3 linked regions of the Sus scrofa genome follow. The protein of the gene in region 3 interacts with the protein of the main gene of each other region in a biochemical or structural test. Links are inferred from orthologs where the notes say so. Each region holds a gene or a part of one and is shown on either strand. Other genes may lie near its edges.

What was found.
Region 1: the proteins of EPS15 (region 3) and AP1G1 form a complex in vitro, tested with the Homo sapiens proteins (2 studies listed by BioGRID). The link is inferred for Sus scrofa from reciprocal best matches to the Homo sapiens genes EPS15 and AP1G1.
Region 2: the proteins of EPS15 (region 3) and SGIP1 form a complex in vitro, tested with the Homo sapiens proteins (2 studies listed by BioGRID, with this or other methods). The link is inferred for Sus scrofa from reciprocal best matches to the Homo sapiens genes EPS15 and SGIP1.

What each region holds. Positions count from the first base shown.
Region 1 is NC_010448.4:14,740,216-14,744,148, reverse strand, and holds part of AP1G1 (AP-1 complex subunit gamma-1), read left to right. Parts: intron 1-3,399; coding exon 3,400-3,522; intron 3,523-3,683; coding exon 3,684-3,773; intron 3,774-3,933. UniProt on the Homo sapiens protein: Subunit of clathrin-associated adaptor protein complex 1 that plays a role in protein sorting in the late-Golgi/trans-Golgi network (TGN) and/or endosomes.
Region 2 is NC_010448.4:145,894,516-145,898,448, reverse strand, and holds part of SGIP1 (SH3-containing GRB2-like protein 3-interacting protein 1), read left to right. Parts: intron 1-393; coding exon 394-894; intron 895-3,933.
Region 3 is NC_010448.4:160,761,528-160,765,460, forward strand, and holds part of EPS15 (epidermal growth factor receptor substrate 15), read left to right. Parts: intron 1-239; coding exon 240-443; intron 444-2,494; coding exon 2,495-2,611; intron 2,612-2,758; coding exon 2,759-2,849; intron 2,850-3,933. UniProt on the Homo sapiens protein: Involved in cell growth regulation. May be involved in the regulation of mitogenic signals and control of cell proliferation. Involved in the internalization of ligand-inducible receptors of the receptor tyrosine kinase (RTK) type, in particular EGFR.

The DNA.
Region 1 (3,933 bases), about 150 Mb from region 3:
CCCGTTGTGGTGCAGCAGAAACGAATCCGATTAGGAACCATAAGGTTGCCGGTTCAATCCCTGGCCTCTTGCTCAGTGGGTTGAGGATCTGGCGTTGCCATAAGCTGTGGTGTAGGTCACAGACATGGCTCAGATCTGGCGTTGCTGTCGCTGTGGTGTAGGCCGGCAGCTGTATCTCTGCTTAGACCCCTAGCCTGGGAACCTCCATATGCTGAGGGTGTAGCCCTAAAAAAGCAAAAGGCAAAAAAAAGAAAACAACTGTTTTTTTTTTCTTTTTTTTAAAAAGGCCAAATTTGACCACATGAAATTTTAAAACTTGTATAACAAAATAAAAAAAAAAATCTACAAAGTTGTTCGCGTTGTGGCTCATCTATAACCCATTGACGGAGGACAGAGATCAAACCTGAATGCTTGTGGATACTATTCAGATTCTTAACCCACTGAGCCACAATAGGAACTGCTTTGTGGGTTTAAATGGTGTCATCTTTCCAGAATACGGTTTGATAGTGTGTAGCAAAAGTCTTTGTTTATACCTTTTAATTTGTTAATTCTGTTTTTAGGACTTTGTCTTGGAAAAACAAAGGGACATGGTACAAAAATGTATATACAAAGGTGTTCATCCTAATATTATTTATACTAGGAGAAAATTGGAAACAGCTAGGAGTCTCCAGCTGGGCATGAGTTAAATAAATTATGAAACATCTGTAGGAGAGAATGTTATCGTTAACTGTTTAAAAATTTCAGTTAGGAGTTCCCATCGTGGCGCAGTGGTTAACGAATCCGACTAGGAACCATGAGGTTGCGGGTTCGATCCCTGCCCTTGCTCAGTGGGTTAAGGATCCGGTGTTGTGGTGAGCTGTGGTGTAGGTTGCAAACGCGGCTCGGATCCCGTGTTGCTGTGGCTCTGGTGTAGGCTGGCGGCTGCAGCTCCGATTGGACCCCTAGCCTGGGAACCTCCATGTGCTGTGGGAGCGGCCCAAGAAATGGCAAAAAGACAAAAAATAATAATAATAATAAAATAATAAAATTTTCAGTTAAATATTTTCTCTACAATGAGTTAATTTTGTAAAAGGTAATAAATGTACTTAATAATAAGGAACTATTTTTTAAAAGATAGGATGAATCAATCAGGACATATTTTTTAAAGGTTTTTTTGTTGTTGTTGTTATTTGCTTATTTATTTTTGACTTTTTAGGGCCAAACTTGTGGCATGTGGAGATTCACAGGCTAGGGGTCTAATCGGAGCTATAGCTGCTGGCCTATATCACAGCCATAGCAACGCCAGATGCAAGCTGCATCTGTGACCTACACCACAGCTCACAGCAATATTGGATCCTTAACCCACTGGGTGAGGCCAGGGATAGAACCTGTAACCTCATGGTTCCTAGTCAGATTCATTTCCGCTGCGCCACAACAGGAACTCCTAAAGGTTTTATGAGGCTCAAAAGAAGGGAAAAATTAGAACTCCTGAAGAAGAATGATTATGAAAATTAAAACCTTTTAAAACTAAGGAATGTTTAGTATTTGAGAATTCAGGGTCCTCGTTTTTCTAAACCCTCTTTTTAATATTTTGTCATACTTTAAAACATTTTTTTTTTAATTTTTAATTTTTTTTGACTGCACCTGTGGCATATGGAAGTTCTCTGGTCAAGCATCTCACCTGTGCCATAGCAGCAAACCTAGACACTGCAGTGACAGCACTGGATCCCTAACCTAATATGCCATCAGGAAACTCCCAAACCTCTTTTTTAAGAAAAATGCGCCAACTTTTTATTTGTCCAGTTGACTTAAGTTCTTTGATTATAATCATACGCTTTTTATTTTTTAGCCTGTTGATGTGCTAGGTTACAGTAATTGATTTTTTTTAAAAGTATTTATTAATTAAAGTACAGTTGACTTTAATTGAATTTCAAATACCAAAGCAGGTGTCCATACTTAGAATAAATCCTGCATGGTTGTACCATATAATTCTTTTTATACATTACTTTATTTGATTTGCTAATGTTTTTAAATTTTTTATAATTTTTAAATCTTTTTTGATTGCTCTTTTTCTTGTTTTTAATTTCTTTTTTAACTTTAAAATACTATTTATTTATTTATTTTTTGTCTTCTTAGGGCCACACCCATGGCATATGGAGGTTCCCAGGCTAGGGGTCTAATCATAGCTGTGGCTGCCTATGCCACAGCCACACCCATGCCAGATGTAGCCTTGTCTGCAAGCTCTACCACAGCTCATGGCAATGCCGGATCCTTAACCCACTGAGCAAGGCCAGGGATCAAATCTGCAACCTCATGGTTCCTAGTCGGATTTTTTTCCGTTGCGCCTAGACAGGAACTCCAAAATTTATTTTACTTATTTATTTATTTTTATTTTATTTAATTTTATTTTTTTGTCTTTTTTTTGCCATTTCTCGGGCTGCTCCCGTGGCATATGGAGGTTCCCAGGCTAGGGGTTGAATCAGAGCTGTAGCCACTGGCCTACTACACCAGAGCCACAGTAATGCGGGATCCAAGCCGCGTCTGCGACCTACACCACAGCTTATGGCAACGCCAGATCTTTAACCCACTGAGCAAGGGCAGGGATCAAAGCTAAAACCTCATGGTTCCTAGTCGGATTCGTTAACCACAGAGCCACGACGGGAACTCCTACTTACTTATTTATTGAAGGCTGCCCTGTGCCATATAGAAGTTACGCCACAGCCATGAAATGCCAGATCCAAGCCGTGTCTGCGACCTACACCACAGCTCATGACAACACCAAATCCTTAATCGACTGAGCGAAGCCAGGATTGAACCCACATCCTCATGGATACTAGTTGGGTTCATTACTGCTGAGCCACAATGGGAACGCCTCTTTTGTGTGTGTGTGTGTGTGTATGTGTGTGTGTGTGTGTGTCTTTTTAGGGTTGCACCCAAGGCATATGGAAGTTCCCAGGTTAGGTGGTCCAGTTAGAGCTATAGCCGCTGGCCTACGCCACAACCACAGCAGTGTGGGCTCCGAGCCGCATCTGCAGCCTACACCACAGCTCATGGTAATGCTGGATCCCTAATCCACTGAGCAAGGCCAGGGTTTGAACCTGCATCCTCATGGTTGCTAGTCAAATTCATTTCCACTGAGCCAGGATGGGAACTCCAGGAACACCTCTTGATATTTTCAACCTTTATATTTATTTTTACTTTGGACAGAGATTTTATTTCATTTTTTGTAAAATCAAACTTAGAATATTCACTTATGTAAGACTTTGAAGTTTGAGGTGTATAATTATGAGAATGAGAATTGGAAATAACTTTACCTTTGAGGGTGTTCTGTGTAGTCTCCTTTGAACAACCGCAGTACTAGCTAACATTTCTTATCATTACTGTATGTTTCTAAGGGTAACTGTCTGCATTTCCTTTTAGGCAGGGAGCTATGTTCGTGATGATGCAGTTCCCAACTTGATCCAGTTAATAACCAACAGTGTGGAGATGCATGCCTATACCGTCCAGCGCTTGTACAAAGCAATTCTTGGTGATTATTCTCAGGTAAGTACTTTTACTTTAGAGAGGAAATTCCTCTTTATTTTCCTGATATGCTCTTCTTACTATCACTCTAGATGTGCCTCAGTTTTGACCTTTATGATTAGATGACCTGCGATTTGTATTACACCTTTCAAGGACTGAAACCTTTGATTTTCTCTTGACAGCAACCTTTGGTGCAGGTGGCTGCATGGTGTATAGGTGAATATGGAGATCTTCTTGTATCTGGCCAATGTGAAGAGGAAGAGCCTATTCAGGTACCCTTTGTCACTCTTGGTTAAGGAAGTGGAAAAATAGTGGTTTTGGTCTTAAGAGGGTAGTGTTGGTTTTTTTGTGTCTTTTTAGGGCCGCACCAGGGGCAGATGGGTGTTCCCAGGCTAGGGGTCGAATTGGAGCTGTAGCTGCTGGCCTACACTA
Region 2 (3,933 bases), about 15 Mb from region 3:
AGGGGACCTTCCCCTCCCCTTCAACTCCAATCAAGAATTTTTCCATCATGGGAGCTCCCCTCGTGGCACAGTGGTTAATGAATCCGACTAGGAACCATGACGTTGCGGGTTTGATCCCTGGCCTTGCTCAGTGGGTTAAGGATCCGGCGTTGCTGTGGCTCTGGTGTAGGCCAATGGCTACAGCTCCGATTGGACCCCTAGCCTGGGAATCTCCATATGCCCTAGAAAAGGCAAAAAAAAAAAAAAAAAAAGAATTTTTCCATCATGAAGTCTGCCCACCTAGACACCTCAGGAGACAATCTATTTACCAGCCTTTGCCTCGCCCCTCCCACTTCCCCCACAAATAATTTTAACAAAGTAATTAAAGTTTAAAATCAACTACTTTAACCACAGGAAATGACCAGTCAGCCACAGAGGTCAAAATTGAAAAACTACCATCAATCAATGACTTGGACAGCATTTTTGGCCCAGTGTTGTCCCCCAAGTCTGTTGCTGTTAACGCTGAAGATAAGTGGGTCCAATTTTCTGACACATCCCCGGAACGTGTTACTCCAGAGTTGACTCCAAGGGAAAAGGTGGCGTCCCCACCAGCTGCATCAGACAACCCAGCCGACTCCCCAGCTCCCGGCCCCCCGGCTCCCCCTGGCCCGCCAGGCCCCCCAGGACCTCCGGGTCCGCCTCGCAATGTACCATCGCCGCTCAATTTAGAAGAGGTCCAGAAGAAAGTGGCCGAGCAGACCTTCATTAAAGATGATTACTTAGAAACAATCTCCTCTCCGAAAGATTTTGGGTTGGGACAGAGAGCAACGCCGCCTCCCCCACCCCCACCCACCTACAGGACTGTGGTTTCGTCGCCCGGACCCGGCTCGGGCAGTGGTACGGGGACCACCAGTGGTACGTCTTACTGTTTGCGTGTGCTTCGTGTGCCCGGGAATGGCCGTGGCTGCTGCCGTGTGAGCAACACCCTCCTCCTGCCTGGCCGCTGACTTTAGAGCTTCAGCCATCCCTCCTTTGGTGTGGGTGTCCTATGCCCGGTGGCATGTCCCAGTCCATCAAATGCTCGCAGTCATAGTGCAAGTCTGTGGATGTGTCCTGCCCTGTGCTCCCCGCCCTTAGGAGGGCGCTGCCTTCTGCCCTGCCATTAAGTGTATGTTTTTCAGAGAAACCTGCCATGTCATTGTTTAGAATTCAGGAAAGTTCTAGAAAGACAGGTTTCCTAGCGTGAGTTTCACGTTAAGTGTCTGATTTCCTCGTCAGAGGCCTCCCCAAGGGCCCTAGTGTTTTTCTGCTTTACTGAGGTGAAACTGACAAATAAAATTGTAAGATCTTTAAAGTGTACAATGTGATGATGTGATACACACAGACATTGTGGAAGGATTTTTCCCACCCAGTTAATTAGCAGCCCATCACGTCACATATTTACTTTTTTTTTTTTTTTGATGAGACTATTTAAGTTCTACTCTCAGCAAATTTCAATCATACGATACAGTGTTATCAACTGTAGTCACCTATCAACTGTAGTCACCACAGTTGATTACAGATCCTCAGACATTATTCAATTTATCATCGTATACATCTACGCTTGTATGTTTTTCAAGAGCCCTGTTTCTCTGTAGGTCAATGCGTTTCCTAATTTTTTCTGTGTTGCGTTTTTCTTATTGAGAGGGAACGGTGTTAACCCCTATCATTACTTCAGAGAAAAAGGAGGGTGTGAAAAGATTTTAGAGGATAGCAAAAAAAAAAGAATGCCTTACCGCATCCTCAGCCTCATCAAGCTGCTGCTGAAACAAACTGCTCTCTGATGTCGTCATCAACATGCTCATCAGCCTATGAGCTTAACTCCAAGTGTGGTGACAGATGATGGAGCAGGTCAACCAAAACGTACATCTGGGGACTCCACATGCAAACTTTGTTGTTGAATCTGATTTTTTTGGTTTTCCTTATTTGAAACTTCCTTTTGTGTTCTCTATGAAAGGATGATCTGCCATGTATACCAGGGAAAAGATCAAGATTTTTCTAATGTGTCTTCCATATCATTTATTCTACTGGTTCTCATGTTTGTCTGCCAACATCCTCCAATGCCCTCCCTCCTGTTCCTGTGGGTTTTGTTTAGATACCTTCCCAGCGGTGTCAAGAGCTATTTGTGTTTCATTTACTTTGAAAGAGGCGACCAAGTTTAAGTTATTTAGATCTAGTAAGAGACAGAAAGGAAAGGCTTTTGTCTCTAGGCTAATAGTTATCTCTGCTTCCACTTTCAATGGAGTATCTGTCAAGGCGTGTTCTTTGCTAATTGCCCTGTGCTCTAAAGTGAGAGCATGCAAGCCAATCAAGGAGGACTGGAGAGTCACCTGTACTGTAAACAAAACCAGTGTTTTATATCATTAGGTATTCCTGTGCCCAACCAAAAAGGGAAAACCACTCAATACTCAAACAAGTTTGGGAAACATTGTGTTAAAACAAAACCAGTCAGTTTCCTGACCCTGGGACACTCTGAGAGCCTTTATTTTGCCAATACGAACAATAGCTATAGTTTCTTATCCTGGCACCATGCATATCATTTCATCCTCACAACAACCCCATGAGGGAAATATTCTCAGTCACCACTTTTGCAGACACGAAAACCGAGGCTTATGGATGTTAAGTCATTTGACCACATTTACACAGCTAGAGATGATATATTTGGGATCCATTCTCCGGTCTGTCTTATCCCAAGCCTAGGTTCTTAACCACTACGCTCTCCAGACCCTCTTGCAAGGTTTAGTGACAAAACATCCCAAACTTATCTGAAACTGACACCCACCTCTACTGCCCAGTGTCATCAACAACATCACCAAAATTCTCTCCAAACCTATCCTCTGTGCTCCTTTCTATAATTCTGGAGGGTTAGAGCCTCCACCTCTACTGCTTTTTTAGCTCTTTGGGGGGATGTAAGTCTCCTTACTTATCTCTAAAGATAATAAATGACCATTAGGTAAAATTTTACGTTCAGACCTCAATCCCAAAGATGGTTGTCCACTGTCAAAGAGGGGTGTGTTTCCATCTTCTTGGATGGAATTCTTTTTTCTAGGCCATGCTCTGAGTTTTCTGAAATAACTTTTCAAAAAATAAAGCCCCCCTTTCCAATGGCCTGGCCACTCTGCTCTCCTCAAAGCAAGACTTTTAGTCAAGGGAGGGGTGAACAGGTCAGGACAGCTTTGTAATTCACCTCTCTCCTCCAGCACCTTCCACAAGGCTCTGGGAGGTGCTCGCTTCATTGCATTGGCTGACCACTGATCTAATGAGCGAAGACAGCTCTAGATTTCTTTCTGGAATCCTTGGGAGTTTTGTTATTGTTTTAATGTTTAGCTTCCCTATTCTTATTTAAAATCACTTTAAAATGTTACCCGTAAAGACTATTGATTCTTAATAATTGAGTTGGAAAAGAACTATACTTTGCTGGTATCAAAGGATTGAATTTCTAAATGGAAGACAGAACTGGGCCAATGAAGCTCATGAATAAATAAAACTTTGCACCTTTATCTCCTTAATTAAGTCCCAGTTTATTTGCTCGTTAATCTTTTATTGATGAAATATACGCAGACTGGGAGAAATGTAAATTTAGGCTTAAACGAGTAGGATGTAATCTCTGGTTTTAAAGAGTAGCAATGCTTATCCCCACCTGCTTTTTTGTAGCACTTAGCCTGATGGGAATAACTTTCCCTATCCTTCTCAAACTCTGTTTAATTGGATACCATTGTGCCTACTTTTAAAATTTCATTCACAGCAAGATGACTGTCACAGATCGAGTGTCAACAGCACTAACAGCCTGGTGAATCAGGAGAGTTACCTGTTGTTGAGAAAGTTGCAAGTTAAGAATTTGCTCCAAGAACTTTAATTTTCCTGATGGCAAAATTTAAAAATACATAGTTTGGCCAGAATATTGCTTTACTGGAA
Region 3 (3,933 bases):
AAACTTCTTGGAGCTGTCAAAAGATGTACAAAAGCAAACCCCTATATACTGAAATTTCCAGAGGAAAGCTTACTGGGATGGATTACTGAAATTTTTTCTTTAAGTCATGCTGCATTTCCTGAGATTTCTCCTTAATGGAAGCAAATTTATTCTTGACCAAGTCTAAGCATATAGTTATTTTTATGTTACATGTCTTTCTAGTAATAAATTCTGTTTTGTATTATACTTTGTCTTGACAGTTACAAATGAAACTGATGGAAATGAAAGAACTGGAAAACAATAATAATCAATCAAATTGGTGCAGTAGCCCACACAGCATTCTTGTAAATGGCACTACAGATTATTGCAGCCTCAGCACCAGCAGCAGTGAAACAGCCAATCTTAATGAGCACGCTGAAGGCCAGAGCAACCTAGAGTCTGAGCCCATACATCAGGAGTCCCCAGTGAGTCTAATAGCTCCTTAACTTTCACAATCGTCTTCAGGAAAAAAACATTGACTCAGATCAAAGTTTTGTTGACATCATACCTAATATAAATATGTGACCTTGCTTCATCTGGGACAATTGAGATTTTTTTTTTTTGAGAGACAGAGAGTGGGTTCTCACAGTTTTACCTAATGTAAAAATGTAATTTTTAATGATCCATTTGTTACAGAGCATGTTTTCGAAACAGTGGTTCTATAGATAGTAACTTTTTAAAATAGTTTTTAAGTACTCTCACCCAAAGCTGCAAGTAATTCTCTATTTCATAATGTTGAGGACATTTATTTACTAATTATTTGGAGACTACCAGCTAATGCAAGTGTGCAGTAGTGTTAGCGTGAAAGCTGCAGAGAGAAAAGACCTTTAACCCTGTCAAGCATACAGCCTAGCTGTGTGTGTGACACCAGGTTAAAAGGCTATGAAAAAGTAAGCATAAGGTATTCAGGTAGAGCAGCTTAGAGGAGGCTCAGAGATGTTGGAAGGAAAGTTTTACATGTGACCTTTCAAGTGTGGAGGGGTTAACAAAGGAGAAGGTGGTACATTCCTCGCATAAGCATAGGTATGAGATGGGAAAAAATACACTGTACAAGGTCATGAGAAGCTGTCGGAGGATATTTTTTGCTAGTGGGAAGTGTATTGGTGGGAGATGAGGCTCTGGTACTTAAGCAGAATAGAGGTGTCTGTGACCCCCTCCAAACTTGTTGAACTATAGTGTCTGGGTTGGAGCCAAGTACATACATTTTAAAAACAAATTCTGTGGGTGATTATGATGTGTACCTGGATAAAAATGACCACTTTTAGGTCAGAAAGGGCCGGAGAGTAAGACATTTGGATTCATCTTGAAGCATTGGGGAATTTGTCTTATTACAGTGAGTAGCCATTGAATTTTTAAGCAAAAAGTGACAAGATTAAATTTACCTTTTAGAAAATGTGGATAACGGAGAGCAGGACTGGACACACAGGGATATATTGAGAGACTGTTGGAATGGTTTCTGTAAGAATTGTTTTAACCTAGACTTAACCAATTACAGGAGGGATGATGAGAAGAATACAAATTTCAGAGATATTAAGAATGGAAAATTAACAGACTTGATTTTATTTAGATACTGTAGTCTTGGATATATTACACGATATTCCTTTAAGTGCAAAATGCAAATTACTAAGTTATCCTTCTAAGATACAGGGTGTATGAAATGAACATTGCCCCTTCCACTTTTTTTTTGACCTTGCCTGCAGCATGGGGAAGTTCCTGGGCCACAGATTGTAGCCTTGCCACAACATTGACCTAAGCTGCTGCAGTGACAACCCCAGATCCTTAACCTGCTGCACCATAAGGGAACTCCATCCAGGCCACTTCTTAAGCCTTACTATCTACTGATCTAAATCCAGAAAGCAGTGGGAAGCCCCTTGAAGGACTTTAAACCAGAGGGTCAGGATCAGATTCACTTTTTAGATCTATTACTTTGCCTACTCTAAGAAGGATCAATGGAAGGACACATTAGAGGCAGGAAGGCAGTTGGAAGGTTATTACTACAGTAATCTGGACCAGAAATGATGATATGGTAAGTGGATGATAGTGACAGTAGGGAGAGGGAAGAGGGAAGGATTTGAGAACAAGGTAGGAGGTAGACTCAGCAAGACTTGGAATCTAGCTTGGGAACGACCAAAGGGAAGTAGTTAAGGAAGACCTGAAGTTTTCTGGCCTTGAAAATTTTTTTTTTCTGGCCTTTTGTTTTATTTTTATTAGAGTACAGTTGATTTACAGTGTTGTAATTTTATTTTAATTTTATTTTAATTTTTATTATGGTCGATTTACAGTGTTGTATGGCCTTGACCGACTTTGATGCTTGGTGATACCATTTTCCTAAGAAAGATTATATAGAGGCAGGCATTCGGTGAATAAGTTCTGTTTGTCTTTTTAAATTTTTTAGTAATTTTTGGCTATTTTTTGTCAGTTTCCTCTGCCAAGTAGAAAATACATTGTTAGTCCATGCAGAATTAATATTTTGTAGGCAAGAAGTAGTCCTGAAATACTGCCTTCTGGTGTGACTGATGAAAACGAAGTGGTGACTGCAACTGTTAATGAAAAAGTTTGTCCTGAATTTAATAGTGACGGACATTCAAAAGAGGTAAAATAATTTTATATGTAAATGTTCTTATCACTGGCTTCCCAAGATGGGTTTTGATACATTACTTTAGGCAACATGTTATTTTATTTTAAAATGTAAAAACTTTGGTTTCTAAAGCTTTTTTTTTTAATTTAAAATTATTTTCAGGAAGATCCATTTAATGTAGAATCAAGTTCACTGACAAATCCAGTTGCAGATTCAAACTTGGATTTTTTCCAGTCTGATCCTTTTGTTGGCAGTAAGTATTCTTATTTTTATATTATTGATTTATCAGAAAGGCTTTTTTGTTTCTGTTTTTGTTTTTGTTTTGTCTTTTTAGGGCCACACCTAAAAAGACCACACCATATGGAAGTTCTCAGGCTAAAGGTCAAATTCTAGCTGCAGCTGCCGGCCTACACCGCAGCCACAGCAACTTGGGATCCGAGCCACATCTGTGACCTACATCACAGCTCATGGCAATGCCGGATCCTTAACCCACTGAGTGAGGCTGGGGATCAAACCCACATCCTCATGGATACTAGTCAGGTTCGTTATCAGTGAGCCACAAGGGGAGCTCTCTATCAGAAAGGCTTAATTAATTAATGCATAAACTATGTAAGAATTAGGCTTTGAGAACCTACTTGTTAAAACAAAAGTAGAAGGGAGAATGAGGATTTATATGCTCAGATTTTAGTATTTGTCCTCTTTTAGGCAACTAAATCCCAGAACTAAGTCTTGGGTTATGTCTTAAGAACCCCTGATTAAGAGTATGCTTCTTTGTCAGAATAGGGGCCAAAAGAAAGAAAGGAAATTGGGCATTCTTAAGTCAACCAACAATTATTTACCAAAAGTGCCAACACCATGCTTTTAAAACAGTGGTTAGCAGCCCAAATTCCTACTCTTAAGGTGCCAACAGTCTTAACTGAAGAAACATAAGTTTAAAAAATTAAAATATCTGATGTCATTGTAAACTACATTAAGTACTACTTGTGTCAAAGCTCTTTTTGCTTTTTATTTATTTCCAAACTCACCTTGTGAAACTGATACCTCAGTTTTTATCAGTTCTAAAGATGAGAAACTGAGGCATATAAATAGAAGAATTTGCTTAGAGTCAAGACAGAAATGAGCCTAGAAATTAGAACTCTCTTTTTTTTTTTTTTTTTTTTTTCTTTTTTTGCCATTTCTTGAGCTGCTCCTGCGGCATGGCATGTGGAGGTTCCCAGGCTAGGGGCTGAATCGGAGCTGTAGCCACCAGCCTACACCACAGCTCACAGCAATGCCGGATTCTTAACCCACTGAGCAAGGCCAGGGATTGAACCTGCAACCTCATGGTTCCTAGTCAG